2 linked regions of the Cricetulus griseus genome follow. The protein of the gene in region 1 interacts with the protein of each later gene in a pairwise test. Links are inferred from orthologs where the notes say so. Each region holds a gene or a part of one and is shown on either strand. Other genes may lie near its edges. The genes, in order: Plin1 and Abhd5.

What was found.
Region 2: the proteins of Plin1 (region 1) and Abhd5 interact in a protein complementation assay, tested with the Homo sapiens proteins (3 studies listed by BioGRID, with this or other methods). The link is inferred for Cricetulus griseus from reciprocal best matches to the Homo sapiens genes PLIN1 and ABHD5.

Annotation. Positions count from the first base shown.
Region 1 is NC_048596.1:117,866,288-117,882,302, reverse strand, and holds the start of Plin1 (perilipin-1), read right to left. Parts: upstream 12,520-16,015; coding exon 12,475-12,519; intron 9,090-12,474; coding exon 8,885-9,089; intron 6,955-8,884; coding exon 6,872-6,954; intron 5,643-6,871; coding exon 5,390-5,642; intron 4,878-5,389; coding exon 4,705-4,877; intron 2,619-4,704; coding exon 2,418-2,618; intron 1,988-2,417; coding exon 1,742-1,987; intron 1,006-1,741; coding exon 667-1,005; 3' UTR 1-666. UniProt on the Homo sapiens protein: Modulator of adipocyte lipid metabolism. Coats lipid storage droplets to protect them from breakdown by hormone-sensitive lipase (HSL). Its absence may result in leanness. Plays a role in unilocular lipid droplet formation by activating CIDEC.
Region 2 is NC_048597.1:229,331,762-229,347,776, reverse strand, and holds part of Abhd5 (1-acylglycerol-3-phosphate O-acyltransferase ABHD5), read right to left. Parts: intron 7,381-16,015; coding exon 7,295-7,380; intron 5,215-7,294; coding exon 4,842-5,214; intron 1-4,841. UniProt on the Homo sapiens protein: Coenzyme A-dependent lysophosphatidic acid acyltransferase that catalyzes the transfer of an acyl group on a lysophosphatidic acid.

The sequences.
Region 1 (16,015 bases):
GCTGGCACTACAGAGGACAGAGCAGAGGCCCCACCTGCGCAGGGGACAGAGACTCAGAAACTAGGACTGTTATCTAAATAAGCACACAAAGGCTTTGGCACCTTGTTGTTCTTTTAAAGCAGCGTGCTGAGAGCTAGGTAATCAGAGGGTCTCAGAGCTCAGTGCTAAAGATGCCCTGAGAATTCCTGACATTCAGAGGGAGTGGCCAGTCTGGGCTACTTGGGAGAAGGAAGAAAGAAGAGGGAGGAGGAGACAAAGGAGGAGGAGGAAGAGGAGGGAAGAGAAAGAAAAATAAAAGAAAATATTAACTGACTCACTGCTTTTTAGCAATAAATACATGTTCACAGAGAAGGGATTTGAATTTTAGAACCAGTCAGGTGTCATTGGCCAGTTTTGCTAAAGAAGTGAGAAATCCAATTAAGCAATTGCTTTTTTAGCTAAAGAAAAGTAAAGAAAGCCATGAAATGAGAATTGCCGGCTGCTCCGGTGCCCCTTAAAAACTGCCTGTGATGGTCAGGCCGCCAAAGGATGCTTTAGAAGTGATGCCTCGACAGCATCGTGGGGATGTGGCTCAGGCTCCCAAGGGGCCGCCCTGAAGGAGACCCACTTAGAAGTGTCGTTTCTGTTTCCTTGTGGCGAAGCGGGGCGAGCAGGGACGCAGCCCTCTCAGCTCTTCTTGCGCAGCTGGTTGTACTGTGCACGGCCAAGGATGGGCTCCATGACGCTGGGCCTAAAGAAGCTGTCGCTGACCCTGCGAGCAGGCTTCTCTCGGGGCATGGCCAGGAAGCCGGGACGCGCCGACGTCTCCGCCTTGTCGTCAAGACCGGGGCAGGAGGGCGCGCTGAGCCCCCGCACGTTGCGCAAGCTGCCGCGAGGCTGGCCTGGGCGCTGTGCGGACTCCGGACTGGCGGGCCTCGCCCCGGACCCCTTGCGCTCGGCCTCTTCTGGCGGGTTATCGATGTCTCTGAATTCGCTCTCGGGCTCCATCAGGGACAGCCTGGGAAGCTGACAGCCAGGCACTCTTGTTAGGAGTCACTGCCCTTTCTATGGCCTTTGGCATATTTCCCCTCCCACCCCCACCCCCGGGGCAGCCATCACAAGGGCACAGACTGGGGTATAGGCCATAAGGATGAAGGGCATCCGGGAGACCCCTAAGGTTCTAAGAACTCTGATCGCCTCTGGTAGTGGGCGCAGTCCCCCTCCTTGAAGCATGACACCCACCCACTTTCAATGATTGAGTAACCTTTCCCCTGGCTAGCTCTAGGGGCACCTCCTGTTCTTTTTCAACATGCTCAACCTCTAACTTCCTTTGGAGAGGGTCTCAGGGATTCCCAAAAAGATGGCATTAGTCTTGCCCCACCTCCCCGCAGGTTGATAGAGCTGACATAGGGCCAGCTACTGTCCTTCGAATGCACAGCCTACTGCTCCAGGTACCCTGAAAGCCTATTGCCAGGCCCTTCCTCTGGGAGCTGAAGTGAGAGGGTTGAGCCTCTAGGGACTCACAGACCAACGACTCCATCATCAAATGGGAGGCACAAAGTAGGGAAGAGGTCTGAGGCCAGGGCTGTGAACATGTGACTCTGGGCTGGGAAAGATCAGTGTGTAAGAAGGTTTTGAGTACTGAAGATTGGAGAAGTTGGAGAAGGGTCTCCAGGGGCTGGAAGGGAGGCGGTGGAGGGGGGTCTACATCTCCTTCAGTCAAATCTACCTTGGGAGTAGGTGTCCCCGTGGTGGGACTCACCGGCACATAGTGTACTACGGTGTCTACCACGTTATCAGTAACACCCTTCAGGGCATCGGATAGGGACATGGCCCTCCCTTTGGTGGAGGACACAGCCTGGGCTGGCGTGAGGTGCAGGATCCTTCCCACCGTGCCCAGCACAGCCGCAGGTGCCCAGGTCACTGCTGAGATGGTGTTCCGGAGAGTCTTCTGCATGGTGTGTACCACGCCACCTAGGAGGCCTCTCTGGTTGGGCAGGGCTGTTACCTGTGGGCCAGAGAACCGTTAGCCCCTGCCCTACATCAGTTCCTCTGACCCTTTTCCTAACCACCAGCCCAGAGCCAGGAGGGAAACAAGGACACAAAATAGAAACAAAAAATAAAACAGCAACAACAATAAAAAAAATTAAAAAAAAAAAAAAACCCTAGGCCTGGGTCTGTCCCTAGCTGCGGATAGGCCTAAGGCATGTCACTTCCTCTCTCTTGAACCCCAGTCTCTCTGTCTGCAAAATGGAGCAGCAATGGCCGCCCTGCCTACTTTTGTGGGTGTTGTGGAGCCCGCTGAGGGACACAGAGATACTGAGTCGGCTGTGGATTGGGGGTGACCTGGGGACAGAGTCCTTTATTCTACCCTGCCCCTCTACTGCTCTCCCCGACCCCTGGGCCGTGAGGCCTTAGGCTCTCACTCTCTTCATCACCTCCCTGACGCTCTCTTCAACCTCCGATCCCTCTTCTTCCTCCTCCTCGTCTGTCTCCTCTCCTTCGGTGGTGTCCGTCTGGTCATCATGGCTTTCATCCTGGGAGGCTGCTAAGTTGTGCAGCCAGGGCACTCGCACCTCACTCCGTCGCCGGGACACCACCTGCATGGCTGCTGATGCGCCCCACTGGGCCAGGCTGCTCTGAGGGAGGATGGCAGAGGGAGCTGGCTCAGTGGGCCCCTCTAGGCTGTAAGGTCCTTGTCTCAGGAGCAGGGGCAGGGGTGGTGAGCAGAGGCTGGCCCCACAGGGTTTCAGATATATATATATATCTTTGTTTTATTTTATGCGTATGCATATGTGCCTGGTGCCCACAGAGGTCAGAAGAGAGCATCAGATTCCCTTGAACCGGAGTTATGGGCGGGTCTGAACCTGGATCCTCTGCAACAGCAACAAGTGTTCTTAACCACTGAATCACCTACTTAGTCTCTCCCCCAGCATTTTTATTAGTAATAGCTTGTCATTGAACATACATAGTTAGCATAGAACTCTGGCGATTTTTGTAAGCACACCCTATGTAGCTATAGCAGATGGAGACAGAGAATATTTCAACACCCCAAGAGTAAGTCTCAGCCGGGTGTTGGTGGCGCATGCCTTTAATCCCAACACTCGGGAGGCAGAGGCAGGAGGAGCTCTGTGAGTTCAAGACCAGCCTAGTCTATAGAGTTACAGGACAGCCTCCAAAGCCACAGAGAAACCCTGTCTCAAAAAAAAAAAAAAAAAAAAAAAAGTCTCTTCAATCTGTATTCCCCAGTCTGTGGCACATGTTCTGACTTTACAGCCACACATTCTTTCTGGCCATTCTCTTTTTAGTGTTAAGATGGAATCCGGGGCTCTTCCCTACAAAGCTTGAGCTTGTATCCCCAACCTGGATGCTTATTCATTTATTTTTATTTACATTTATTTTTTAAGACAAGGTCTCATTATGTAATCCTGGCTGGCGGGAACTCACTGTGTAGATCAGGCTGGCCTTAAACTTGCAGGGATCCTCCTGTCTTGCTTCTTAAGTGACCCAGCCCCTAAGAGTTGTCTTTTGACCTTGGCACAGGGGCCATCATGCCATCATAGCATGCATCCCCCTATATCTCAGAAGGGGAGGACGACAACACACAGAGTAATAATAAGTCAAAATCAAATTTGAAAAAGATTTCCACTCACATCCAGGTGTGATGGGAAACACTTGCAATCCCGACACTTATAAGGTGGAGGCAGAAAGATTGCCACAAATTAAGGGCTAACCTGGGCCACAGGATGAAACCCTAACTCAAAAAAAATTAGTCAATTAAAGTTTAAAAAATAAAGTAAAAGGACATTTCACATGACTGAAAAGCAGTCACTTCCTGCTGACTCCTGGGTTTTCTCTTGTAGTTCTGCAGGTGTGTGGCCTCGAGTAAGCAGAGCAAGCAAACACTCTACTACCCAGCTGCAGCCCAGTCCAGACACCTCCATGTCCTCATTGTTTCATTTGTCTCTGGTTTTCTGTCTGTCTTTGTCTAAGGGTCTTCTGTTGTTGTCTTTTGAAATAGGGTCTCACCATATAGCTTGGATATGCTAGAACTCACTCTGTAGACAAAGCTGGTCTTGAACTTGAAGAAATCCCCCTGCCTCTGACTCCCAGGTGTGGAGATTATTAGTCTGTGTTTATATGCCTGACTTTAATGTTTTTTCTTCTTCTTCCTTTCCTTTTTTCCCCTCTTAGTTTCCCACTAAGTTCTGTATTTCCAAAAACTGCAGCCTAACCTTATCAAGATGAATGGAGAAGCAGCTTGGCCTGGGTGTGGTGGGGGAGACAGGAGCCCCCAGAAGGAAAGACTGCAAATCTGCACAGTCTGGGGCAAAGGCTATTGGGATTCTCATCCCACTGGATGTGCTTTTTTTGTGATTTTTTTGTTTTGTTTATTTGTTTATGGGTGACACTTCTAGTGTTTTAGTAGCAAACGGAGGTGGGAAGGCCCACGTAAGAGGCCCACTTGGAGTCATGAATGTTGGGAGCCAGGGAGACTCCAAGGGAGGGTGGGGGAGACAGAAGAGGGTGATGGGGCAGGACCACCCACACGGTTTGTGTACTGCCCTTTCTCTTCTTCCACAGTCTGGGCAATTAGCCCACCATCCTCTTAAGCCCCTGTCTCTATGTCTAAAGTCACAGCCCAGCTTGAAGAATATTCCCAAGACAGAGGGACTGGGAAACCCACAGAGCAGGGGTTAGGCAGAGTTCTGAGCAGACACTCACCAGGGGTGCCACACCCGGGACCCACATGGCCAGAGAGTGGCCCTGCTTCAGGGCCCAGGCAGTGGTCTGCATGGTATGTCGAGAAAGAGTGTTGGCCAGGGTGCTGACCCTCCTCATGAGGCTGGGTTTGGCCTTGGGAGTTTTCTGGGCACGATGCCGTCCAGAAGCGGGGGCTGAATAGAAGATATGGAAGAAAACATCAAAAAGGGACTGAGGGGCCTGGAGAGACAGCTCAGCAGTTAAGAGCACTTGTCACTCTTGTAGAGGACTTGAATTCAATTCCCAGCACCAATTTGATAGCTCACAACCATCTGTAACTCCAGTTCCAAGGGATCCAAGATCCTCCTCTGGCTCTTGCAGGCAGTAGTCACACACGCTGTGTGCACACATCCATGCAGTCAAAACACTCATACATGTAAAATTTTGAAAGAATAAATACTATAGAAAATGGACTCAGGCTTGTACCTTGGGCCGGAAAACAGTTGCCTTACTTCTACCATGACCCCACTAGTGACAGCCAATGCCAGTTCCTTCTCTCTCTCACACACACACCTGGAATGGAGGGACTAAAGGACTGAGATCCTCTGGAGATTCTAAGGGGCATTCCCTATGCCAGCACAAGGCCAGCAATACTTGTAGTCTCCCACTGATCCCAGGGTAGCAAGCTAGTCTGGTGGGCAGGTACCTGACTCTTCCTTGGCTGGTGGCAGGAGGAACTCTACCACCTTCTCAATGCCTCCCAGAGCCAGATCAGCCCCTCCAGAGGCCAGTCGGCCAACTCGGGTGTTGGCAGCATATTCTGCTGTCTCTTTAGCCATCCCCAAGGCTAGCTCGCAGCTGGCCAGGACCTTGTCCGAAGTGCTTGCGATGGGCACACTGATGCTGTTCCTGGCACTTCGAAGGCGGGTAGAGATGGTGCCTTTCAGTTCAGAGGCAATCTGAGGAGTGTGGGGAGACAGTCAGCTGTTGGATTTCCTCACAGGCCCTGAGCCCAGCTCCCTGGAGGGCCCCATTTAAAGACCCAGGCACACGGGGGCATGACGGCACACACTTGTAATACAAGGACTGGAAGCTGAAGCAGAGGGATCACCATGAGTTTGGTACTATCTTTGGCTACATAGTGAACTCCAGACCAGCCTGGGCTATAGTACGAGATCCTGTCTAAACATTAAAAAATTAAAAATGGACCCAGGGACCAGCAAGAATATGTGGATATGTGGGAAAGGAAAAGGCCATCTTTGCTGTGCCGGCCACCTTGCTTCTACACTGTGTGAAGATCCATCCTTTGAGGATAGTCCTGATACCCTCATTCACACAAGGCATCCCTCTTCCAAAGCCCTACCCTCCCTCCTCTGTCTGTCCCTCAGCACACTGTTCACACTGATAGATAGATATGAATGGCCCTCTTGCAAGTTTTATGATGGAGTAATTTGCCTTCTTCCTCCTGAGACCCGGAAGCTGCTCTGTGACAAATACAAGTTGACTTGGTCTGGAGCACTAGAGAGGAGTGTATTCCACCTCAGGCTGTGTTTATTCATCTGCACAATGAGTGTAGCAAGTCCCATCACCAAGGATGACCTGGGAGGGCTCCATGAAGCCCATTCTTCAGCTGTTGGCAAGGGCAGGGTGGGGGAGATTTGTAGGACAGGTTGGTGGTTGGGCAGTAAAAGAGATGAGGTCATAGGCCTTATTGAAGCCAGCACTGGATAAGGCCAGAGGGAAGTGACTTGTTTAGTCTCGTGGTCCATAAAGTGTTGGATCTCGAGGCCATGTATGTAATCCCGAGATCCCAGTGAGAGGGATGCAAGATCTTAGGTAGCTGTTGTCATCACATAGTCCTATGAAAACCCACAGAGTCCCAGATCTCAAGGCCACAGTATCAGAAGGCTGTGCAATTATGGAGGGTCCACACTGGGGTTAGCCCTTCCTTCCGCCCCTTGAGGGGCATGAAAGTATCTGTCTGAGCTTATCTGAGGCATTTGCCTGCTATCCCAGACACCACCACTTTACCTGACCCCACAGAAAGAGGAAGCGGGGGTCTCCACCTGCCTAAGAAAGCGCTCACCCCGTGAACACAGAAAGTTACACAGCCAGGACATCAGCTGTTCTCCTTCCTGAGAGGAGGTCGCAACAGTGTAGGGAGCACTAGGGAAGAGGAAGGACTCACCTTTTCTGGAGGGTATTGAAGAGCCGGAATCTTTTCCTCCAGGTGGTCCAGGCCTCTGCAGGCCAACTCATTGGCAGCTGTGACTGAAAGGGAAAGGCTGTGTTGGGTGATCCTTGCCCCCTCCTGAGAAAATAACAGTGGCCTCCGTCTCAAAGGAAAGTACATTGGGACCCACAGATCCCAGCCCTTGGGCTACCAGGTCATCTGGAGCCAGAGACTCATTGCTATCTTTAGCCCCCAGGTAGGTACTTATGACGCCTTGAGAGCAGGGCCGTTTTAGAGACGGTAAGACCTGCACCTGCTCAGCATGTGGCTTTAACGAGTTCCACCGGTCTGAACACCAGGAAAGGCGCACAGGTGCCCCATTCTTTACCTCTAGGGCCCTGGACAGCAGCTCTCTGCTGCCCCCTCCTGTCAGGAGCCAGAGCCGACAGCCCATGTGTTTGTAAAGTGTGAATGCACAGGCAAACTTGATGGCAGCTCTATGAATCCCCACCAAAGGCTGTTCTCTCCACCCAACCTCCCTGTTCAGTGTTCAGGAAGGGTGTGAGGAAGTGAGAATCCATGAGGGAGTGTGCCAGGTGGCACCAGAGCTTTGCCATTGGCCTCAGGGGCACCAGGCCTGGTTTGGAGATGATGGAGTTACAGTCACGGCCAGAGCAGCTCCAGATTGTCCCTAGGACCAGTTTTAACCGCCAGCTGTCAAGATGGCTGCAGCTGAAAGGCGCCACAGGGAAGAGGACCCAGCTGCCCTGAGGAGTGGGACATGCCCCAGAGGATGCAGGTGTTTCTAGGGCACTCTGCCCGTGGTCTGCTGAGGATGTAGGCTCTGTGGCCAAGGTCATGGAAGGCACAGGTTTAAAGAGTATTTATAGGTACTCTTTCATGTTTCTTTGAAACAACAAAGAGCCCAGATGACTTTGGCTGTCTTCTGATTGGACAGAATAAGGGCACCCATGAGGGTTAGCATAGGGCCTTCAGTATTTTTATTATTATTATTAGTTGAATAAGTTTTTCTTGGATAACTTTATACACATCCCCACATCTTCTCTTGTCTCTCTTCCAATGTTGCCAACCCTCATATCTGTTTCTCATGTTCCTGTCATTTTTTTTTTTTTTTTTGTGACCCACTCAGTTTAACCAGGGCCATCTATGAGAACATGAATTTGAAATGGAGCCTTTAAGGCTTCCTTGCCTGGTTGCTGGGTAGAATCCTCACATAACCACAATCTATTAGGACGATAGAAGATGCTAGACTTCTCGGCGCTGCTTAGATTTCCCTCAACTCTGACAAGAGCTGAGTCTTTTTTGTTTTTTCCAGACAGGGTTTCTCTGTAGCTTTGGAACCTGTCCTGGAACTCACTCTGTAGACCAGGCTGGCCTCGAACTCACAGAGATCTGTCTGCCCCTGCCTCCTGCGTTCTGGGACTAAAGGCATGACCCACTACCAACCTGGCCGAGCTGAGTCTTAGAGACCACATTTTCTGATGGAGACAGGGTAAACCTTGTTCCTGCCCCCAGGTCCCTGCTTGATAGCTCTCTACTGCCCCACCTGTCCGAGGCCAGTAACAGCAGCCGGGTGAATGGGCCTTTTCTTTCCATGGTGCTCTTCTGCACTGCTAGGCCCTGCTTTCACTGAGACTTCCGGTTCATGACACTGCTCTTTCTGCTGTATTTGGAGCCCGCGTGACTCGAGATGTCCTGCCGCTGGCTCCACTCACCATTGCTCACATAGATTTGCCCATCTATCCCCCTGAAAATTCTTTGGGTGTCATTGTTAGCCTAGGATGTCCTAGGCTGGGCTGCAGCTGAGGCTGTATAGACACAAAGAGATCTGCATGTATGCCTCTATATCTGCAGATGATTAGACCAGGAAATTGAATATAGGCAGGCAAGGGAGGTGGACAAACAAGTTGTGAGATGATCAGATAGACTGGCAAGCAGACAGACAGATAGACATGGAATGACTATCAGTGGGCAGGCAGGCCATTGCCAGGTTCTATGAGAACTCACACTGGGTGGACAGCCTGCGGACCACCGGCTCCATGCTCCAGGCAGCCAGATTGCTGGCGCCCTGTACACCCTTCTCATAGGCATTGCACACAGACGCCACCAGGGGGTGGGCTTCCTTGGTGCTGTTGTAGGTCTTCTGGAAGCACTCACAGGTGCCGCTCACCACAGGCAGCTGCAGGACTCTATGGAGCACATTCTCCTGCTCCTGTGGGCAAAGAAAAAAGTTATACCCCACTCCCTGCTCAACCTCCCTGCAAGCTGACACTAGCCTGGGTCTTGCATGACGTTGGTGAGGCCAGCCCAAGTGTAAGGGAAACAGGGTGTCTATAAATGGCCCAGTCATAAGACCATGAAGGAGCCCACAGGGAAACTGAATCTGTCTGCCAGGCATTCCTGGTCACTACCTAGATTCTGGAGAACTCCTGAGGTGATCTGTACAAGCCAAATCCCATCTCCCTCCCAGATCATGCCTCTTAGACTGATAAAGTTAATGTATCTGTTAGTCCACCTTCAACTGGTAGCTTCATCTAAACATTTTAATGGTCTTTCTGAGATGTTTCGCCCATGTCTATAAATGCTGGACCACTGCCAAATAGGCTTGCCTTCCCTCGAACATCCCTTTCTACTGGGTAGAATATTATTCTCTCACTATCACCTCCTTGGTGAGACAGGGTCTCAACTAGCCATGGATGGCCTTGAACTCGCTACTTAGCTAAGGATGACATTGAACTCACTACTTAGCTAAGGATGACATTGAACTACTGATCCTACTGACTCCTCCTCCCAAATGCTGGGATTATAAACATGTGTCACCATGACCAACTTTTGATTCTCTTCCATCATGGCTGTGTCTGTCCTTGGGCTATCTCTACATCTGTCACCCTGTATGATTATGTGTGTCTGCCTCCTTTCTCCCAGGAGAATGTCCTCTAGTTCCCCAGTGCCTGTCTGAAAGCCTAACTCTGGAGAAATGAGCCATACATGGAGCTGTGCCTTGTAGAATATGTTTAGGATCTTCTTTATTTACGTTTTTTTCCTTTCTTTTTTCTTGTTCTGTGTATGTTTGTTTGTTTGTTTGTTTTGAGACAGGGTTTTACTGTGTAGCTCTGGCTGTCCTGTAACTTGCTTTGTAGATCAGGCTGCTCTAGAACTCACAGAGATCCGCCTGCCTCTGCGTCCCCAGTACTGGGACGAAAGGTGTGTGCCACCACCGCCCACAGGCTCTTCTTAACTACACAGAATAGCAGGATTTGGGCCTCCTGAGGTTCCTCAGCAAGACTCCTTTCCAGAAAGTCTCACTAGACTTGTATTTGGAAATCTCCTTGGGTGGGCTTGATGCCTCCACAGAGTGGCTGGCTCCCTAGTTGGATGACTGCTGAGCTCAAGTCTGCCTCCACACCCTGCCCCACAGGAACAACCCTGGACAAATCTACTTCACCTTTTGTGTGTCAGCCCATCACATACTTCAAGTTAGGTGTGACTCCCTGCAAAAGTCCCTTCACTATAGGCAATAGCTACATTTCCTATCTTAGTTTATAAGTGGATCACACAATGGGCTTGTGACCCTTTCCTCCTGACACTTTATGATTTGGCATGGCCTTTCTTAAGATATACGACTCCATTTTTTGTTTGTTTGATTTTTTTTTTTTTCCGAGACAGGTTTCTCTGTGGCTTTGGAAGCTGTCCTGGAACTAGCTCTTGTAGACCAGGCTGGTCTTGAACTCACTGAGATCCACCTGCCTCTGCCTCCTGAGTGCTGGAATTAAAGGTGTGCGCCACCACTGCCGGGCTATAACACTCCATTTTTAAGTTGGTACTCCAGTGAATCTGAGCCTTTGTGTGTAGTGGAGTCATCTCTTACCAAAGCATTTTGCTTTGTCAGCATTTACATAATTACACTTTAGCTAGTAGAAAGAGCCCAATCTTCCAGTGAAAGAATGGATCTGGTCTCCTAGTAGGAAGCAACATTTACTAGAGACCATTATGCTGTAGGGTTCCAGGGTGCCTTGATCTCAATCCTAACTGTAGTTTGCTGTTAGAAATATTTGAGATTCGGAGATAACTTTCCCAAGATCACACAGATAGTAAGTAGCAGAGGCAGGACTTCAGTCAGGTTTGATTTGATTTTTTTGTGTTTTTGAGAAAGGGTCTTGCTGGGTGTGGTGACACCCAGCACTTTAATCCCTGCAGTCCAGAGGCAGAGGCAGGCAGATCTTTGTGAGTTCAAGGCCAACCTGGTCTAAAAGAGAGTTCCAGGACAGCCAGAATTGTTACACAGAGAATCCCTGTCTCAAAAAACCAAACCAAGCCAAAGCAAACCAAAAACAATGAAAAAGGGATAGGGTCTCATTTAGTCCAGACTGGCCTTAAACTCATTATGTAACCAAGGCTGGACTGGCCTTCAGCATCTGATTCTCCTGCCTCTACCTCCCAAGTTCTGAGATTATAAACATGTGTCACTTATATTGGACTGCTTCCAAGTCAGGTTTGAAATGGAATATATGGAATGTACTTCCAAATAAATTAATGATTGGGAGAGGATGTGGCAGATTGGTCATGGGTTCATGGCCTTTGGAATTTGTCAACAATCCTGGGAACTTGTATGTATTTGCCTAGTCTTGTTAAGAACTGTCCATAGAAAAAGTAGTATGAGCCACTCTTCAAGGTTAACCCATCAGCTCCAGCTCTGTATGACTTTAGATGCACCCTGTGACATGCCATCAAGGAGACCTGTGTGGGCCAGGGGACCAAACAGCCATGTTATTTTAGCTTTTTGTCCTTCTGGTAAGTCAGTTATTAGAGGAGAAAGGGATTTAGACTACATGCGGAAACACCTTCTTTAACGCTTTGCGCAGTGCTTTCAAGGGTTTTGAACAAAGCTAAAGGAGAAAGGGGCTGGGAATGGAAAAAACCATTAACCGATAAGAAGACCTAACATTTTTTGTGACCCATTTACACATCTCTTACGATTTAGTACAAAAAAGGCAGTGATCCCTAGTACAGAGGTTCATCAAAGCCTAGTTTTGGATGAATTTAGTCTCCTACAGGCTCATACCTCTGAATTTTACTAACATCTGAACTGTACCCAAATCAGAGAGGTCTTGGCAAAGCAAATCAAGGACATTTTAATAAAAGTATCAGAATTACTTAAAATCATGGTGAGATCCAGGCCAGAGATAAATGCTGGACACATTGAAGTCCAGTGTATTCTCGCACACGGTGGCACAGGTAGTGCATTGCAGAGTCACAGACTATGCATGGGCACCCAATGGCAGACATGCTCATCTGGGTGGTGGACTGTTGTCTTGGGGTTTAGGACATGGCGATTTCTTTCCCTGTCTCTCCTTAGCCCCCAGCTGGCACTCCTATCCTTTTCTCCAAGGCTCTTAGACCAGACCATCACAGGCATCTTCTCTTTTTCCCAGTTCCCCAAACACCTCTGTTAATGGTGGCAAGGGCAGGAATAGTGGGACAGTGAATTCGGAACGTAGGTAGACACATCTTGCTTAGGTCCCCTGGCTCCCCTCTCTGCTCACTCCCTTCTCCCTTGGTGGCCCATTCCCCATCTCACATGAGCCCAGGTTACTTACAGGGAGGTCTCCATCCAGCAAAGTTGGGCCCTTGTTCATTGCCATCCTTCCTCTTCAGGCTGCAAAGCAGAGTCCCAGGTCCATCAGAAGCCCACAGACTTGCAAACCACAGGGTGGCTCCCTACCTCTCACAGCCACCCACAGTCACTGAGAGCTCAGCTGCCCTAGGTTGGGAGTGAATGTCACATAGAGAGGCCACTCCTTGGAGTCCCAACACACTGAGTCTCCTGGTCTGCTCAAAGTGAACTCCATAGTCTGCTCAAAATTGATGCTTTTTTTTAAAGGCTCAAGACAAAAGAAAATGTAGATAAGTTAGGTTGACGAGATAATGAGAGAAAAGGTTTAGGATGAAGTCTGGGGCTCTTAAATCAGAGTCCCAAAGAGACTAAAGAATGAGCGTCGGGTAGCGTTTACTTTTCTTCATGACAAAATTCTAGTTAATTACTATTTCCCTCTACTGCCAACTAGGTAAGCCTTCTCCTAAAAGAACTGTCTTCTGGATAAGCCAATGGCCACTCTGTGCCCTGGTCTTTCAACCTGTGTCTTTTCCTCAATGGTCTCTCTGCAGAGCTCTGCATCCCTCAGTAAGTTCCCCATCTGCTCTTCCTCTCAGCTCCTTCCCTCTAAACACTCAGGTAAAGCAGACACCCGGGACCCCACACTCACTGCAGCTGACAGCCACCTCGGTCTCAGAAAACCCAACTGCAGAAGACTTCTCCACAGAAATCCTCCAGCCACTCCAGAGAATGTTGGGCAATGCCTCTCAGACCTCCCAGCAGGAGGAGGGCAAAGAGGAAGAGAAAGATGGGTGGCCCATTACCATAGCTGCCTGACCCAGGATGTCCCCTGGGCTCATCCTAGCTTCTGTGGGGACTGTTAGGCCAATGATGAGAAGGCTCACAGAGCTGAAGGAGTCCTGTGCTAGAGCCCCGAGACAATAGTTCCTGAATATTTCTGGCTTTTAATGACAAAAATTGCTTTCCGTAAAAAAGGCAATAGTACTTGTGTCATTAAACTCCTAAGTTCAAAGTTCCATGTAATTCTGTAATCTTTGGTCCCTTTCCCCAAAAGTTTCTATGGACAATACTCCCATATAGTTTCTCCTATCCTTTGTTATTTGCTAGCAAGGATGACTAGTGAACAGCATGATTCAAACCCACACAGGGATGGGTTCAGCTTACTGTATTAGTCGATGACTATCAAGATAAATTACTTGCAAAGACAAAATAGAGTTGAGAGTTGAGCTATTAATAATCTGGGCTCTGAGAGAATAGTTTTAACCTTTGTAAATCTTGAAAGTTTAAGAAAATATTTTGAAGCTGGTTGTGGTAGCAAGTGCCAGTAATCCTAGCACTCAGGATGCTGAGGCAGGATTGATAATTGGAGGGCCCCCTCACCGACATAGCAAGCGCTTGCCTCAAAAAGTCAGGGACTGAGGGCATAGCCTAAGATACTACCAGAACAGGAAGGAGGAGAATCACTGGGATTTGTTCACCTGAGTCGGGAGAAGTGATGGTGCTGATGAGCTTTGTTTTGTTGGCAGCCAATAGTACCCAGACAGACAAGAACTATCAGCACGTGCCATTCATTCCTCAACAGGGACTCAAGCCCAGGCTCAAACTTTAGTGCCTGATTAAAGAGGACAGAACACTATGGGCCCAACCAGTAGCTTTAGACCATCTAGAAAGGCCTCAGTCAAAATGGATGAGAGGACAACACTAAATATTAGCTGGCAGCAGATCTTTATGTTTTGATTCTGCTAAGTTGTTAGTGTGGATAAGAGAAAAGAAAGGCACTGGGCAGTAGGTTCAGCAAAATGGCTCAGCAGGTTAAGGGGATTGCCACCAAGCCTGACCACCTGAGTTCAATCCCTGGGACCTATATGATAGAGAACTGATTCTGGCAAAATGTCCTCTGACCTATGTGCACGCATTCACACACACACACACACACCACACACACGCGCGCGAGCGCACACACACACACACACACACACACACACACACACACACAAGCACACTACATAAATAAATGTAATAGAAAATAAGGATGTAAGAAACAGATTCAGGGGTTGGAGAGATGGCTCAGAGGTTAAGAGCACTGACTGCTCTTCCACAGGTCCTGAGTTCAATTCCCAGCAACCATATAGTGACTCACAACCATCCATTATGAGATCTGGTGCCCTCTTCTGGTGTGCAGATATACATGGAAGCAGAATGTTGTATGCATAATAAATAAAATAAAAAAAGAAACAGATTCAGATAGGTCCCTGTTTAACCTTCATATAAATAATAATAAATAAGACAGGGAATAAGATGTCAGGAAAGGGAGGAATGTGGAGCATGGAACTTCCAAAAGAAGTAATAAATAAGTGAAGCATTTGCTACTTATTAATCTTGGTCTGAGCTTTTAAGCTATACGGCAGCTCTGGAGAAGGAGGGAAGTATGTAAAGTGGACTCTGCTCTCACTTCAAGGTCCAGGACAAATGATCTGGAAGGCTCCCATCTGGACACAACCCAGGCTAAAGGGCAGCCTGCCTTCTCAGGCGGTGGCTTTGGGCCAGAGGGGCTATAGGGCTCTGTGCCTAAAACTCTGCTGACAAAGCTGGTCCTCTGGCTGCTTCCACTGGGATTCTAGAATGTGGGTGAGAGGTGAGAAAGAAAAGAGCCAGGCAAATACTAAGGGGGCAAGGGTAAGAGGCAGTTCTCCAAGCTATCTCATGCTGCTTCATTCCCTCCACTACAGGAGAGCAGGGATCTTGGCCATTCTGTGCACAGGTGGGTCCCCAAGCCAAACAGGGCACTCAAACACTTGCTGACTAAGCCCTCAGCAGCAGTGTTCAACTGTGACTGTGCAGCTCCTTGGGGCTTTGTAGTTTCATAAATCCCTCATGAATGTGGACCCAGGAGGAGAGGGTTAGCAGAGAAGGAGAAAGATACAAGGATGAGGTAGCAGGGCCACACTGAGTTTACAGACTCTAGAAAATGGCAGTTTCCAACCCTCCAACCACCCCCTCTAATGTGTAAGACCCAAAGACCAAAATAGCTATCTGCAAAACACTGCCCATGAACTCTAGGCAGCTTCTCTGAGAAGCTAGCCAGCTATTGCTAGGCTACTACCTTGGCAGGGGTGGTTTGGACAGATGTGTAAGGGAACTTTTCAAACAGGAACTTTGACATAGTCCCCATGCCTTCCTCCCAGCCTGCACCTTGCCAGTCCTGAGCTTCCTGCTCACTGCCTTCCTCTAAACTCTCTCCAATCCCAGACATATTCACAGATTCGTGAGCCAATTTTGTTTAGAAATGTATTAGACATACTGACATGTTACAGTACAAAGTTATTTAAACATATTTGTCTTGTTTTAGCCAATTTAGTTTCTACCAGAATACCCCCCAAAGTTTTCCCAAATCACACACTTTAAAAATAGAGTGCCAAGGACCCGAGTCTGCTTTTCAAGAATCTTCCTCACACTTATGGGAAGCAGCTATTGAGTGCATATCTCTCGTTTCCACTTAGATGATGTACATGGCTTTGTAGGTG
Region 2 (16,015 bases), on another chromosome or scaffold:
TCTTTACAACACTTACAGAAAACGATGTTTTAAAATAAAGTTTTAAAGCCTCCAACATCAGAAATGTAGTTAGACTGCATCCACTTTAGCTACACGAAAAAGCCCTCACAAAATAATGGCCTTGTTTTTCACTGGAAGCCTTTTCAATACAACAGACCACACAAAAGCATTGCACTTGGTGGCTACCATGGTAAGAATTCTGTGATGGAAGCTATCGCAGCAAAATTTATTCCACTGGAGGGCTTTTAAATTTTTATTTGCTCTCTTTTGAAGACACTGTGTAGCCTGGGCCAGCCTCACGTTTGTAGTGCTCCCCCTGCCTCTCTGCCTCCTGAAAGCTAAGATTACAGACCTCAGCCACTGTCCTAGCCCCACCGACAGGCCTGTCAGCTTAAATATAGGGTAAGGAGTGAGTCATCCTATCAGACGACATCTTCCTCAAGAACTAGAGTGTGATTAAACTACAGGACAAATGAAGAACCAGAAGAGCAGGAATATGACAACAGCCCATCAGTGTCAGGAAAAAAAAAAAAAAAAGGCATTCTTCTTGACGGTAGTCACATAAACAGCTTACACCTTTCAGGGCAAAGCAATGGGTCACAGCTTCACTGGGATGAGACGGTGTTCTGTCTAAATGAGCACATGACTACACACACTTGATTTTTATAGATTCGGTCAGCTGCCAGCGAGAATGATACAGCCAGAACAATCAGTCCCAGAACTGAAATGCACCAGGAAATTTACAGGGCCTCCTTGAAACAAGGAAAGGAGCAAAGAATATGACTACAAAGAATTCCAGTCTACATAAAGGAGCACTCTCAGACTGGAGGGTAGCCTGGGGTATTTCCTGTTGGCACCACACCACTGAGGAGAAAGGACCTGAAACCACCAAAGCACTTCAGTTCCAGGCCAATCGCAATTCTTAAGAGGAGCCAAGAAGATGCTCAGCCCAGGCCTGCATTGTCAGGAAGCAGTCAGGCAAGGGCAGTAGGGACGGGACTCAAGATAGTATTGTCCAAAAGTCTTTGTTAGTGGAGACAAGTTCTAACATGCTGTTATAACCTAGGGTGGGTCTTTTTGCTAGTCCCTTTCTACTTGTTTCTCTTTTGAGACAAGATCCCATTATGTGTTCCAGAGTGGCCTCCAGGTCCCCCCCCCCCCCCGCCTCTGTCCCTTGGGTGCAGGGACTGCAGTTATGTATCATACTACATAGGTTCCATACAACCTTCTAAGCGTGTATCATATCCTTTTTCTTAGTGTGTAGCAAATACCTGCAACACAGACGTTTCTTCACAAAGGAAGGAGCTCTAAAAGCAAAATCTGAACAGTTGAGAGGAAGGGGCAAGCATCTTGGCTACCAACACTGGCTAGCTTCACTCTTGCTAAGGGAAGACAGCTCAAGATTCCTCAAGCAGCAAGTAGCTCTATTTGTGACCCATCATATGAATCTACTAACAAAATTCCAGGGGGCATCTCCACTCATCACACACGAGTTTAAAAAAAGTTGGGATGAACTGAGGTTGCTGCGTGGGAAGGAACGAGGGGCCGTGCCTTCATTGGAGTCCTCTATTAGCTAGCCCGTAACTTCTCTGCCCACTGGCCTTTCCTAAACAGCACCGGTGCCTGCTAGCATGGGCCTTTGAAACATATGCCCATTGACTGTAATAATCCCCTGCCACCCAGTAGTCCTCTTTTAGATCTTAGATCAAGAAATATTTCTTTAGACCATCATTGAAGCAGAGACTAGATCAGGTTCTCACAGCACTGTCCGTGTCCCCCACCATAACACTCATCCCAGGGGCAGAGCCCTGTGTGGGTATTGAAAGCGCCACTCCAGTACACATGCACACATGGCCCAGAGCCTCCTTCCCCCTGTGCACAGCACAACTGGGCATATATATCTACACACCAACAAGGTGTGGTGAACTCTGACGCATTCCTTAGGGAGGGTGTGATGAATAGCATCTGGGGAAATACCGCTGTGACTCCAACCACCAGTTTATAGTGTGCACAGAGCTCAGGTGCTTCTTCCGACATTTTAAAGAAGGGAATTAAAACAAAATGCCCTCCCCAACAAACACAGTCACTGAAGATCAGTCAACAGCCAATCTCCTAGAATACACTATTGGACACTCCATTCATCACCAATGCTTCATGGAAGACCCGAGGAGTCATCACAAGGAGTCAAGGGCACAGCACACAGCTTTTATCAGCCGGCAGGAACACTGCCACAGGAAGGCTGCAAAATGGCTCTGATGGGCAGGGGCACTTGGAAATATGCACCCGTGTCTAATCAATGTTATGAAGTCAAAAGTATGAGTTTAAAAAAAATATGATTAAGTCAGGAATAGTGACACACAACTTCGATCCCAGGAACTGGGAAGCAGAGGCAGGCAGATCTCTGTGAGTTCAAGGCCAGCTTGGTTTAAGCAGCTAATTCCAGGATAGCCAAGACTATTAGAAATCCTAATCTCAAAACCAAACCAAACCCAAATAAAATAAAATAAATCTAGAAAGAGAGAGAGAGGGAGGGAAGGAGGCGGATGGATGGATACAGTTTTGGGGTGTCGTCCAACCCTGTGATAGTAAGAATAGGAATTTAGACACACTCCACTTATGACCACTACTTAGTGGTTTCTGGCTCCCACACCCATAATGCACTGTCTGAAGTGCAGCCGGCACTATGAGGGATCAGCTGTTGCTCTTCTCTCCACAGATGGATTTTCAGCATTTGCCAAGTTCTGCTTCTTCAGAGCGTTTCACTACTGCAAGTGAAAGTTTCTCCAGTTCTCCTAGTCAGTAGCTACCTATAAAGGGTTGAGGGTTTGCAACGTAGAGTTGATGACAGTCCAGCCCATAGCCTCATGTCCTAGCTCCAGAGACGCCATAACACACACAGGGAGTCAAACCCCAAGCAGCTCAGCTGTCTCCACTACGCCTTTCCTCTATCTCTCACAAATATCATTAAGTTTCTGTTGCCGTGAGTAGGATGCAATTAAAAAATGGACTTAAAATGCCCACCAAGAAAAAAAAATGTGACAGGTTTTGTTGATGTTTTAATGAACAGGTCTTCTGGGTGACAGGACTATCTCTGTCAAGCATATAAAGAGTTTTGAATCCACCAGAAAACTTGGGTACAAAGGCTAAAGTTGACACACTGAATCTTTGGAGAAAAGGAACCATGGCAGAGGCAAACACAGTATCCTGTTCCACTGTGCAGACCCCATACCAGCAGCTGTGAAACAGAGTGGCCTTGTGGATGGGGACAGACACTCTGAAAGTGACCATCAGAGTGCTTCACCCACAATTCTCAACGTCCATCACCTCTTTAATTCTAGATTTAAAAAACAGTCCAGTGGAAAAATTCACCAGCAACACAGAAACGCTGACACTCTCCTCTACAAACAAAGCTCAAACGGAGATAAAAACTTTTCCTTTTATTTTCTTTGGACTAAAATGCGACTTCTGATGGAAAACCAGTGTCATAAGAAACAGTGAAAGAAAAACAGTAGAAAGATTCTAAAGCAAAATGGCCACTAATTCAAGGACTGAAAAACAGTGCCTCCTGAGCATGGTGGGTTAAGTCTACAATCCCGAAAGGCTCGAGTTGGAAGCTGGAGGTCAGCATGGGTCCATGGTAAGTTAGCAATCCAAAAGGTCCTGTCTCAAAATGATTATTTAAAGGCTCTGTAATGAAAACATTCAGGGAATGATATAGTCAAAACCCATGAAAGGTACACTATATGAAAAAAACTAAAGTCCAGAGCTCATACAATTTGCTCATTCACAAAGATATAGTCTGCTTCCCTTTATAACTTAACTATAATTTAGCAAAAAGTCTGGAAAAGCCTGCTGGTTCCAAAGTTTTAATTATTATAGTTAAAAAAAGAAAAAAGCAATTACACCATAGTATTTTTATGGGTGGCTTAAAGCTACACCAGGTCAGGCACTGTGGTGCATGTCTTTAATTGTAGCACCAGGGACAAAGAGACAGCTAGATCTCTGTGAATTGGAGGCCATCTTGGTCCACACACCAAGCTCCAGGCCAGTCAGAGCTATACAGTGAGACCTTGTCCCCAAAGAACTTAAGAGATTAGATTTTGTGTCATTATGAATAAAAAATATTGTCCTTTGTCAAGCCTATCAACAAAATCTGATATCATCCTTTAAGCTACAAAGTGGGTTACCAGTTGTGGTTGTCTACCTATTGGGTCTTTTAAGAGAATGTCTCTCGTGTAAGGCTAACAGTCACCACCAAAAACGGGAACCAGGGATCCGCCTGCCTCTGCCTCCCAAGTGATGGGATAAAAGGTGGGCACTAGCCTGTGCCTCCCTGCCAGCTGTATGTAATTCTGCCCCAGCTGCATCAACCTGATCTTATGGTCGAAGGAGTTCCCATAGAATTTAGAGCATTCCATGTACAAAGATATAAAGCTGTCTTCTTTGGTGTTAAATTGAGACTTTCTGGTACGTCTGTGTGATGATTTGATCAGGAATGGCCTCCATTGGCTCATATTTGACTGCTTGGTCATTAGAGAGGCACTACTAGGAGGTGTGGCCTTTTCAGAGTAGGTGTGGGCTTGTTGCACAATCCGTGTTACAAGAGTTGCCATAGGGGGAGGGCCTAGGCCTTGTCCCAAATGACATGACAGATTTTGATGGGAGGGAGAAGGAAATTAGATTGTTTCTAATTTAAATCAAATGTACAAAATCATTTCTATTAAATAAAATGTATAAAATTATTTCCAATTTAAATAAAATTTATGAAGAAAAAAGAACAGGAACTGGAGGCTAACACTTGGACGCAGGCTGTGACCCTCTCCTCTGTCACTGACACTTACCTTGATGGGTATTTCAGTGAGTAAGCAGCGGCCAGGAACCCTCCAAGGTTGTGTCCAAGCAGGATCATTTTGTTCAGCCCGAGGGCACACCTCCACTCCTCAATGGACTCCACAAACTGGTTCTCCACCTCTTCAGCATCGCTGTCAAACCTAGGTCGACTACTTCTTCCAAAGCCCAAGAGGTCAAAGGCATAGACGGGCCTGTCAGTGCTTAGATCTTCAAAATTCAGGGCCCAAAGTCCAAGACCTCCTCCAAAGCCGTGGAGGAGGACGAGTGGTGTCTTACTGGAAATGTCGTGAGAGAACATCAGTGTCCATATTCTGTTTCCATTGGATATGCGGACGGGCTCTTTCTTGTACGTGCAGGGGACACCTGGTGGAGACAGAGAGCACTCCACTCAGTCTCGCTGCTTCCAAGCACTCTCAGGGTAAACTCAGTCATGCTATTTCACCTTTTATTGCATCGACCCCAAAAGAGTCTATACCTGATTAAAGCAAGCAAATCCAACTAACCATGTTTTATAACTACGTGGGAAGACTTACCTTAGGAAAGCCTCGAGTATATGACCTCCCGATTTCTCTCCACTCTATCATATGAGGACATTACATGCCTAGAACTGGAGAAGAGCCTAGTGGCCTTTAACCCTGTTATTTTAAGGTCCCTAGCTTTGCAGACAATAACAAGAATACTACTTTGAATTTGTAGAGCACTTCACAGGTTAGCATTTGAGACTGAAGTCAGACTTGAAAGGACCATGGAAAGTCATCGGGAACTTGGGGAAGGAGTAACTATATCCACTCTAAACACATACCCGGTGAGCGAGATCATTTAAAGCTTAGTAAAAAGCGGTGTGTGTGTGTGTGTGTGTGTGTGTGTGTGTGTGTGTGTGTGTGTGTGTGTGTGTGTGTGTGTGTGTGTGTGTGTGTGAGAGACGGGGCATGGCAAGAACTTCATCATGAGGCAATCCGAGTTCAAGCGATTGCCCAGAAAATAAAAGTACAGTTTTATAGATCAAAACCCTTGTGTTCAAAACTACATAAAACAAAATACTTTAAACCCTCAAGTTGGTCAAAGGTAAAACTAAAGTTGATTGATAATAAACCATCAACTGAATAGCTACACTCCAGGAATGTCCTTAAACACCCGTGCATATACATGTGTGACAGACAAAATATGGACAGTCACATGTTTCTTCCCTTTGTCAAAGAGCTAACTTAGGTTTTGTATTCATGGTGGCAGCAGAGAGAAAGCGGTGTGCATTTAGGGATGTGATGGGTGCCCTGCCTTAACTGGAAAGAAACCCCTCACCTAGAAGAGGAGCTGAGCCAGGCTTTGAAATGAGCCAGAGCCAGATCTCTTCAGTGTTTGAAACGGGCCTGAGAATTCCCATAAAAATTATTTTTAACATTTAGTGAGAGCTCATCCTGATGTTCAGTCACTCACATTCATGTCTGACATCAGAGCAGGCAGTTCTTAGACACACACACACACACACACACACACACACGGAATCTAGAATCTAGCACCACTGGGTGATAGTGGCACACACCTTTAATCCTAGCAGAGGCAGGTGGATCTCTGTGAATTTGAGTTCCAGGACAGCCAGGGTTAGTTACACAAAGAAACCTTGTCTTGGGGGAAAAAAGTTTATTTTGGTAAACCACAATGAAAATTCTGCTAGTTTTTGTGAAGAGCAACATCATTCAAGTATATGGAACAGAAATTCATTGTGTTAAAATCCACATAACAGGGCTAACTACCATTCCTAAGAATGTAACCAGTTATGGTCACTTACTCTGCAATTGCCAAATGAACAAACAAGAAAATCATTGATGGTAAAGAGAGTGAAGAACAGGTGTAGACAGACATCAGTAGAAGCCCTTACTTTACCCACTCCTGTAGATTCTATCATCAGAACAAAATTGTACAATAAATACCAGAGGTCTGGATCAATTTCAGTGCTCATTAAGAAAAAAATTACAGGACTCTGTGACAATACAAACGTGGATGTAACGATGGCACAATCCAAAGGCACCGCCAAGAGCACCCTACCCCTCATTCCAGAGTTAAAGAATGGGAGGCCGAACAGGGTGACTTGCCCAAAGGCTGCCACCACTGCACAGCAGGTCTGGGTCCAGTTGCTAGGTTCAGCCTGGACTGTGTTCCACTAATGAGACCCTGGAACACAAGAATGTGCTCTCAACTATATAGTCTGGCATATCAGGAAGGTCTTCCACAGGTTTTAAGGATATTAAGACTTTTAACAAAGCCTTATTTTCCATTCTTTTAAAAATATTTTTTAATTGTGTGTGTGTGTGTGTGTGTGTGTGCCTGTGTTGTGTGTCTGTGTGTGTACTTGTGTGTGCGCACGCACACGCTCTCTCCGGACAATGCAATATATTAGATCTATTTTAGTAAATAGTTAAGTAACTTTACAAGAGGAAAACCTTACATTTTAACATTTTCTCTTCAGCTTCTTTAAGGTGTGATGTAGACGTAGGGCACCAGGTCGGAAGCCACCCTGTCAGCCATCCTGACCTAGAATACCAAAAGCAAAGTGCACATAGGTGAGGCCATGCTTTTCTTAACTCTCAGCTACAACACCTGAAAAACAAAGCCTCAGAGGAACCCACCGCCTGTGTGTGTGGGGGCAAGTACAGGTGGCACAAGTTAATGGGACAGGCACTGGGCGCCTACCTTACCTTTCAGGATAGTCAGATCCAAGTAACTATAGAGAGGCAAAAAGAAAGGAAAGAAGGAGGGAGAAAGGAAGAGAGGGGCACCATTCCCAAAGTACGGCAGTCTCTGAATGGGCTAGAAGTGCAAAAAAGCTGGTCTACGAGTGAATAGGTTTGCTTCTCCTCAACAGCAGGCTTACAGTGAAAAGAAAACTATTTACAATTCTCATTTAAAAAACTAGAAAAAGGAAAAGCTTCAGATATCAAGAGAAAGTGCAAAGAGCCTATGGCTTGCCCTCAACCTGCCTAGGGCAGCTGGTTAACTGTCGGTGGACAGAGCAACCTTGGCTCCCATACACGGCAAAGAGCAGAATAGCACTGTAGCTGTCTGAACACAGTGGAGCCAAGAGAACAAGGAAAGCGGGTCTGAGGAAACAGGAGCGGGAAGACGGAGAAAGAAAGGCTATACAGCTGACACTAGCTAGGTGGGAGAAACTTCAGCTTCGGGCCTGGCAGCAGACCAAAACCTCACGGCAGTCAGTCATTTGAGGCCCTGAGAGTTTAGCCGCCGTCTAAGCTGGCAAGGACTCTGTGATGGTAGTGAGACACTTCTGATGAAAGATAATGAATCTGAAAAGGGGATCGATTCTAGAAGAAAGCTCAGGGCCTGAACCACAGCACTGGTGAAGGGGACCAAGACATGAAGATCTGGCCAAAGAATGTTTAAAACGGAAACACGCTAAATCTGGTCAATGGTGTGATATAGTCTTGCGGTTTCTCCTCACAGCACCACTATCATGATGGAGAACACACTAAATACAGATAGGGATGCAAATGAAAGACAGAAATGGAGGCCCTGGCTTTGACTCTGTGTCTTAAATAGACTAAAACAATTAGCAAGAGAAACAAAGTGGTGTGAGTGTAGAGAAATTAGGCGAGGATTGGGAAGGGAAGGGGTGATTCAGTCTCTACCTTTTCCTAAACTTCACAGAAGCTCCCTACATTTCCTTTCCCTATAAAATACTTTATAATATAACAGGAACTCAGTAGCCAGTGTTTGAACGATTAGGTCACTTACAATTTAGAGTCATCTTAGTCCAAATTAGGCCCAGTTCACAGATGTGACGCTGACATCAGGGTAGAGGATACGAAGCTAGTAACAAACGTACCCCCAAATCCCTGTTGTCCACAGGAGAGTACCTCCCTCAAACGCCTGAGGAATTGGCTATTGTGCACAGGTGGCCCACACTCCTGGGTCCTGTCCAATCTGCTCCTGCCCAGCTTGGCTTTTGCTTTGTGTCATTTCTCTCAAAACTTCACACTACTGAGTGTTTCTGCGGCCACCCAGCTCTTCCCTTGGTCCTAACCCCTCGCTTTCACAGAAACATCATTCCTGGGGTGCAGAGGCATGGTCCTTGCTACAGATACAGTTCCTGTAGTCAGTGGCTGTTTGTCATCTGCCTACTGCCTGGTGAACACACCAAAAGTCAAATCTACCTCAAAGCTGACCTTAACACCCACTGCTAAACACGCCAGCTGGTGGTCATGTGAGCCCTTGGGAATGGGAACGGGAGGCTGCAGTCAGCAGACTCACATAGGTGTGTGATCAAGAAAGGCAGATGGACTCTCTCTACAGGCAAGAAGCACTCAGCGTACCTCCGGTTCTACAGCAACAAGGTATGTGGGCAGGACAAGGGCCTGAAACTTCAAAACAAAAAATAACTGAAAGTTGACACAAAGAAGAAACTCGGGAAAGAGACATCAGCATGGAACACAAAAGGTGACTGGAGAGAGGGCAGGATAATGACCTAATAGCTACACTCTCTAATACAAGCTTGTCTGTCCCTTTATGTTTACAGTTAACTTCCATCTGGTCTTGGTCTTTAGACAAAATTTCCTGGTAGGTTCAGTAGCTCTGTGTCTGTGTGTCTGTCTATCTGTCTAACAAATAGAATCAAGATAAGAATATTAGCAGATATATCTGGTCAGCTTTTCATAAGCTGTATAGTTAGGCATATAAGGGCCTGCGTTAAAATGCCAGTTTCACACTTGTGCACTGACAAGACAAGACCAGAGGACCCGTGGACACCCCTCACAAGTGCTGCACTGACCAACTGTGGAGGTGTAACCTAAGAAAGTGTTAACTCTAGTCCAATGATGAGTAGGCAGTCTGTCTGCAAACTTCAGTCTTGTTTTTTTTTTTTTTTTTAATTTATTAGCAGTTTGTAAAATTTTCAACAAGGAGGGTAATGCATTTTTGCTTGTTTTAAAACTATTGTTAGGGCTACAGAGATGGCTCAGAGGGTAAGAGCCCTAGCTGCTCTTCCAGAGGTCCTGAGTTCAATTCCCAGCAACCACATGGTGGCTTACAACCATCCGTTATGAGATCTGGTGCCCTCTTCTGGTGTGCAGATATACATGGAAGCAGAATGTTGTATAAATAATAAATAGAATCTTAAAAAAAAAAATGCCAGGTGTTGGTGGCACACGCATTTAATCCCAACACTTGGGAGGCAGAGGCAGGTGGATCTCTGTGAGTTCGAGGCCAGCCTGGTCTACAAGAGCTAGGACGGCTTCCAAAGCCACAGAGAAATCCTGTCTCGAAAAACAAAAAAACAAAAAACAAAACTATTGTTAAACTGAAGGAAGCTCTTTCATCCTCTTTTATGCCCACATCATAAAATTATGAACAGAAGTTACGTATAACTGAATCTCATCAACAAATATCTTTCAGATCATAACACAGTTCTTTGTCAGAGATCAGTACAAAAAATAAATTGAACCATAATCTACTATTGCTCCAAATGACATACACAAGTTGGGACAAAGAAAGCACAAAGGCAATATTTGCTTCAGTCATTAAGAACAAAAAACAAACACACACCAAAAAATTCAGACTGAAAACCTTCGTCCAGGAGTTTAGAATTTTAAAAGTTACGCAGCAGACTATAGTACAGGTGTGGGTCTCCCTGTACTGGCTTGCCACTTCAAACAGCAACTCTTTTCTTTGTGACATGGGTTCTCCGGTAGCCCAAGCTTGTATTGCTAAGCAGCTGAAAATGGTCTTGAATTTTTGATTCACTTGCCTCTACCACCCTGGTGCTAGAATTGGAGGTACAAACCATCTCATCTGGCCCACAAAATAATCTTCAAAGGCTAGAACTATCTATGAATTTTGACTCCTAATGGCTAGTTCAATTTAGTGTTTGTAAGCCTAGTGGGTTACATTAAAAATTAAGGGGCACCAATTCTCATTATATTTTCATAGCTACCTTTTCATCAGCACAAGGCCAATTTTTACAAATGAGCTTTTTCTATAGTATATTTAAAGTGGGGAAAAAAACCCCACATATTTTCATTCCTAATAAAACTATGAAGATAGCATGTTCCCCTAAGCCTAACAGTACCTCTGTCCAGGTTTGCTTTACTCAGATTGCTGGTAAGATTTTTACAGAAGTGGACTTCTACTCTGCACCTGTAAGACAAAGTACCACACACATAGCAGACCCCAAGGGACACCTGCAAAGAGTGAAAAGCCGTGGTCTGTCTGCCTGCCCTTCAGTCTCTTGTTCAGAAGTCCTCATTCTTTTCTTGCTAGCTCTGTTATTCCCTGGCCAATCCACTCGTGTGTCTGCAAAATAACTTAACTGCATCTCCAAAGAGACGGTTCCTTTCTCCTGAGTCTCTGAGGTCACTCAGTTGTCTGGCACTCCCTGGGCTTAGCATGTGGACACTGGATCTAAGGCTGTCCGACTCGGAGCCATTCTTCTGAGGTCACAGATTCAAGGCAAAAATCCTCACAGTCCAGCTGAAGAGCAGTAAATGGAATAGCCATCTCTCCACAGTTTTGTAAAATAGAAATGTATAACCTATTTAAGCAATAATTGATAAGCATTATTATCCACAGCTAAGGCATGATTACAGATGGAAATGTCAACTGCAATACCAAGAAAAGCCATTCACTGCAAAGTTTGTAATTTCCCCAAAGTACACACATACACACCAGGAAGGCTTGCCGGTGTATGCCAAAAGGTTTTTAGCAAAAGCCCTATGACCTGGGCACTGACCATGTCGGTATGGCAGAAGGTACATGCCCTGAAGCATCTAATTTAAAAAAGAAAATAATCAAAAGACTCTTGCTCTAGATTTAAAACCACTGGAGTGGAAACAAACAAACAAAAAAATAGTTAAAGTTTTAGAAGACCACACTAAAAGTGATAACTCTTAGGAAAGCCAAATAGTTGTGATTAACATACTAGAGTATATTTACCAAAAAACCCAGCTGATTTTAAGTACCCTGCATTTCCCCCTGAACTTTCCACCTCATTTTTTTGTAACTATCACTAACAATGTACTTGTACCTCGTGCCATGGACACTTAAGTTCCTGGTAATTCCTGTTTTGTTCTCCAAGCCATCTGACTATCTATAGTGTTACTAAACCTGAATTGCACAATCTATAAATATTGTGAAATGGTGAAAGAGGTTTCAAAGTATCCTGAAGAAAATATACAGAAGCCTGGCCAATTTCCACATACTCTGTTGGCCACTTAACATTTCTAATTAGGTTATAAGTAAAGAGGATTTCATTATGTTACAGTTTTGCTCCATCCCTCTACTGGTATACTCAAGAGGAGAAAGTGTGCTTGCTATTGTTCTCTGCAATCCAAGCACAGAATTATATCTTCAAGGAGCCAGGAAGCTCTGTTTTTCTTTAATAAATAAACACGTTAGAGGTAATATACACATTCCTCTGAAATAATTCCTCAAAGAAGAACTAAAACATTCCACACTGGAATTGCAACACAACCGAAGGCCTCCTTTCTTGGGAATTGGATTTTTAAAAATCCCATTCTTGTGAAAGAGAAAGAGGATACGCCACACACAAGTACAACTTAAGTGATGAACGTAACATTTTTAGATATGTTACTATAATGACTCAGGTTGTCACTGGCCATTGTATCCATGACAGCACACAACCTTCTAATAGACCAACATATAGTTTAGCATCTCTTTAAGGCTGTGTGGTGTGACTCAGGCCTGTAAGGCCAGCCATCAGGAGGATGAAGCACAGAGATTAAGATTTTTGAGACCAGTCTAGTCTATACAGAAATACACTGTCTTATAAAACCTAGAGTTTAATACCCGCAAGCACACCCACACACGCAAAACCTTTCTATGGCATTCCCTCACACAGTAAAACAACTGCTCAGGAGAAGAGTCAGACACATCTGAAGCAGTTACATGTGAACATTCATGCTCACTGTTCAACAAGTCAGAGAAATGTTTAAGTCAATTATAAAATAACCTTAGCCATTAGACAATGAAGGTCTCAAATCTAATAATTATTTTTAATAAAATTATCTTTACACTTTTTTATAACTTACAATTGGGGGTGCATTAAGCTTAACTAAAAATTTAACAAGTAGTCAAGGTTATTTTAAAAAACAATGTTTCAGAGTAGGTGTTAAAATAGTATGGGTCACATCTATGAGTCTTGAAACATATTGTTGAGCATTATTTTGATTATATGGCCCACCCCTGATTTTATAATCTTTGTTTTTTGTTGTTGTTGTTACAGGGTTGACATCTGCATTGCTGATCTGTGACTGACATTCTAGAGTGCAGGAATGGAGAGGCGTGGATCGGTTCATCTGAGGTCAAGAAGTAGACCCTGTTCCCAACATCCCAGGAATATTGAAGTGTGTGATTCTAATTACTGTCCTACTCATATACAAAAATTTCTGAATATTTTAGGAACACAAATAAGTCACACACCTGAGATATGAATAATTTACTATGAGGTTTGTAAGCTTAGTGTTCATGTCAGCATAAGTTTACAACAGTTAAAGGTTTAATAAAAAATACTAAAGATTACCACTTATAAAATCCTTTTGGACTCTGCCAAACATTTGAGTAGGACAAAAGCCTTGTTCTGGGCTGACAAAACAAATACATAAATAAGAATGCTGTTTAATAACAGTACTTCAGTGACATGGGCGCTGGAGCTGAGTGAGGTGGTGCATGCCTGTCCTCCTGGCATTTGAGAAGTAAAGGCAGAACGTTCACAAGTTGAAGGCCACAATACAAGATCTTGTCTTTCGAAAACAAAAATGTATTTAAAAGAAATACCATGGAGGCTGAGGAGATGGCTCAGCGGAGGACCTAAGTTCAGGTCCTTGCATGACTATAACCCCAACATTGGGAGCAGATCCCAGGAGCTAGACTAGTCAGAACCAAGTTTCAGGTTCAGTGAGAGTGACAGATGAAGGCGTCCAATGTTCTCATCTGGCTTACACACACACACACACACACACACACACACACACACACACACACACACACCCCACACACACACACACACACACACACACACACACACACACACACACGTGCATACACACACGTGCATACACACACACTCACACACACGTGCACACACACACACACGTGTGCACACACACACGTGCATACACACACACGTGCATACACACACACTCACACACACACACGTGCATACACACACGTGCATACACACACTCACATACACACACACAGAGAGAGACACACACACAGACACACACACTCACACACACACACACATGCATACACACACACGTGCATACACACACACACACACACACACACACACACACACACACGTGCACACACACGCAGGCATCACACCAACCCACAAAACTCCACGCCTTAGAGAAAGAAGGAAGGTCGTAATCTCTCCTGGGTTACAGCAAATGAAGTGGAGCAAACCCTGAACAGTGAGAGAAGCAGGCAGCATGTTTAGCAAGTATGAAAAGCACAGCTCTCCAGGGTTCTGTGTGCACAAAGAAAACAAAACTCAAAGCTGAATGGAAGCCACATTCAGATCCCAAGTGGTTTTGCCGTCCGACTAAAGATATACCATAACCATAACAGAGCCACTGTGTGTGAAGACGAGTTCCTCTTGGAAATAGAAAAGGAACTACGTCCTTGGTATGTTACCAAACTTGCAAAAGTCCAAGGGAAGAATATGAAGGTTTTGAACTAAGTGGCCCCCGGGTAATAGTGGGACAATAAAGGGCAGGTTGTCAGCAGACTCTATGGGGACTTGATAATTGATTTGTTATCCAGAGACAAGGGAACAGGTTTGATACTTAGAGGCCAGTTACAAGAGTGTAGACAGTCAGAAGGATGAAACTGTCTTCAAAAAAATAGACTGTAAGGGGAAGAGCTATTCACTTTACACATTTAAAGGAGGAGACAAAATAGGCTATGTAACAAAATAGCTATTTCAATACACTTGAAATTGGACACAAACAGCTGGCAAACACAAACAGTACACTACAGTACAGAAGAGAGTGAGATCTCAGTCCTTCGAAGACAAGCTAGTTCAAGAACTGTGCATAAATAAAAAATAAAGATAGTAATAAACTCTTAGGGAATTATTGTATTTAGAAAATAGTTAAAAGAATAGACCCTAAAAAAAGTAACTGCTGGTCTCAGTTAAGAGAGTAAACAAAATATTGAAAGAGTTAGCTGTCCAATTAGAGTTTCACTACAGTACTGAATATTGAAAAGGACGAAAGAGGGCTGGGAGATGTAGCTTAGTGGAACAGCGCTCACATGAGGTCTTGAGGTCAGTGTGTGTTGGTGTGCATGTGTGTAAGACCCATGTCAGATAAGTACTGGCATTACAGAATTTCATGATTTTGAAGAAGTCATGGGGCAAGGATTACAGAGCAAAAGCAGCAGGAAGTACAGATCTTATCAGTTCCTTAGGAGGTAAGATGAAGAAGCTCACCCTCGACTCTCCAAAGCACAGGACTACACACAGGCTTTAACATCAGGACTCTAGCAAGTCAACTGAGGCAGAGAGGGAGAAACCCTGTCTTTACTTAATAGCCTTTGATGACTTCCATAGTGTGAATTCTCTCACAATGGCTGGCTTCGAGATGCTGGTGCTGTATTTCTGAAAATTCAGCAACAGTCTGCCAGTACAGACCAACTCTAGCCTGCCCTGCAAGCCACCTATTTTATGGTCCAGTCTGCAATAGTGTGATTCTGTGATAACTTTCCCCCAAACTCAACCAGCACTTAATTCTCTGGGACAATGTTACAGCAAGTCAAAGAAATCTACCCTATTTTTTTATTATTATTATATTTGGCTTTCTCAACTGTATTGCAGCTGAAAAGGGCTAGGTTTTGAAAGCTTCCCAGTACACTTGTCTCCACTTAGAGCCACAAAGGGAAAGACAAGACTTATTCAGCTGTGAGATGACTGTTTTATAACTGCTAGCTTCATTAATGCCATCTTTGTAACTAACAGGTTACAAAGAAATGAGGTGTTTTGGTCATAGTTCTGGAGGTACAAACAGAAAGATCCGTTCTGATGTTGGACTTTTCCTGGGAAAATCCCGGGGTAGCACCTGGGAGGACACAGTTGGTACATATACTGATCTCTCTTCCTCTCTCATAAAACCACAAGGATTCAGTCGCTGGG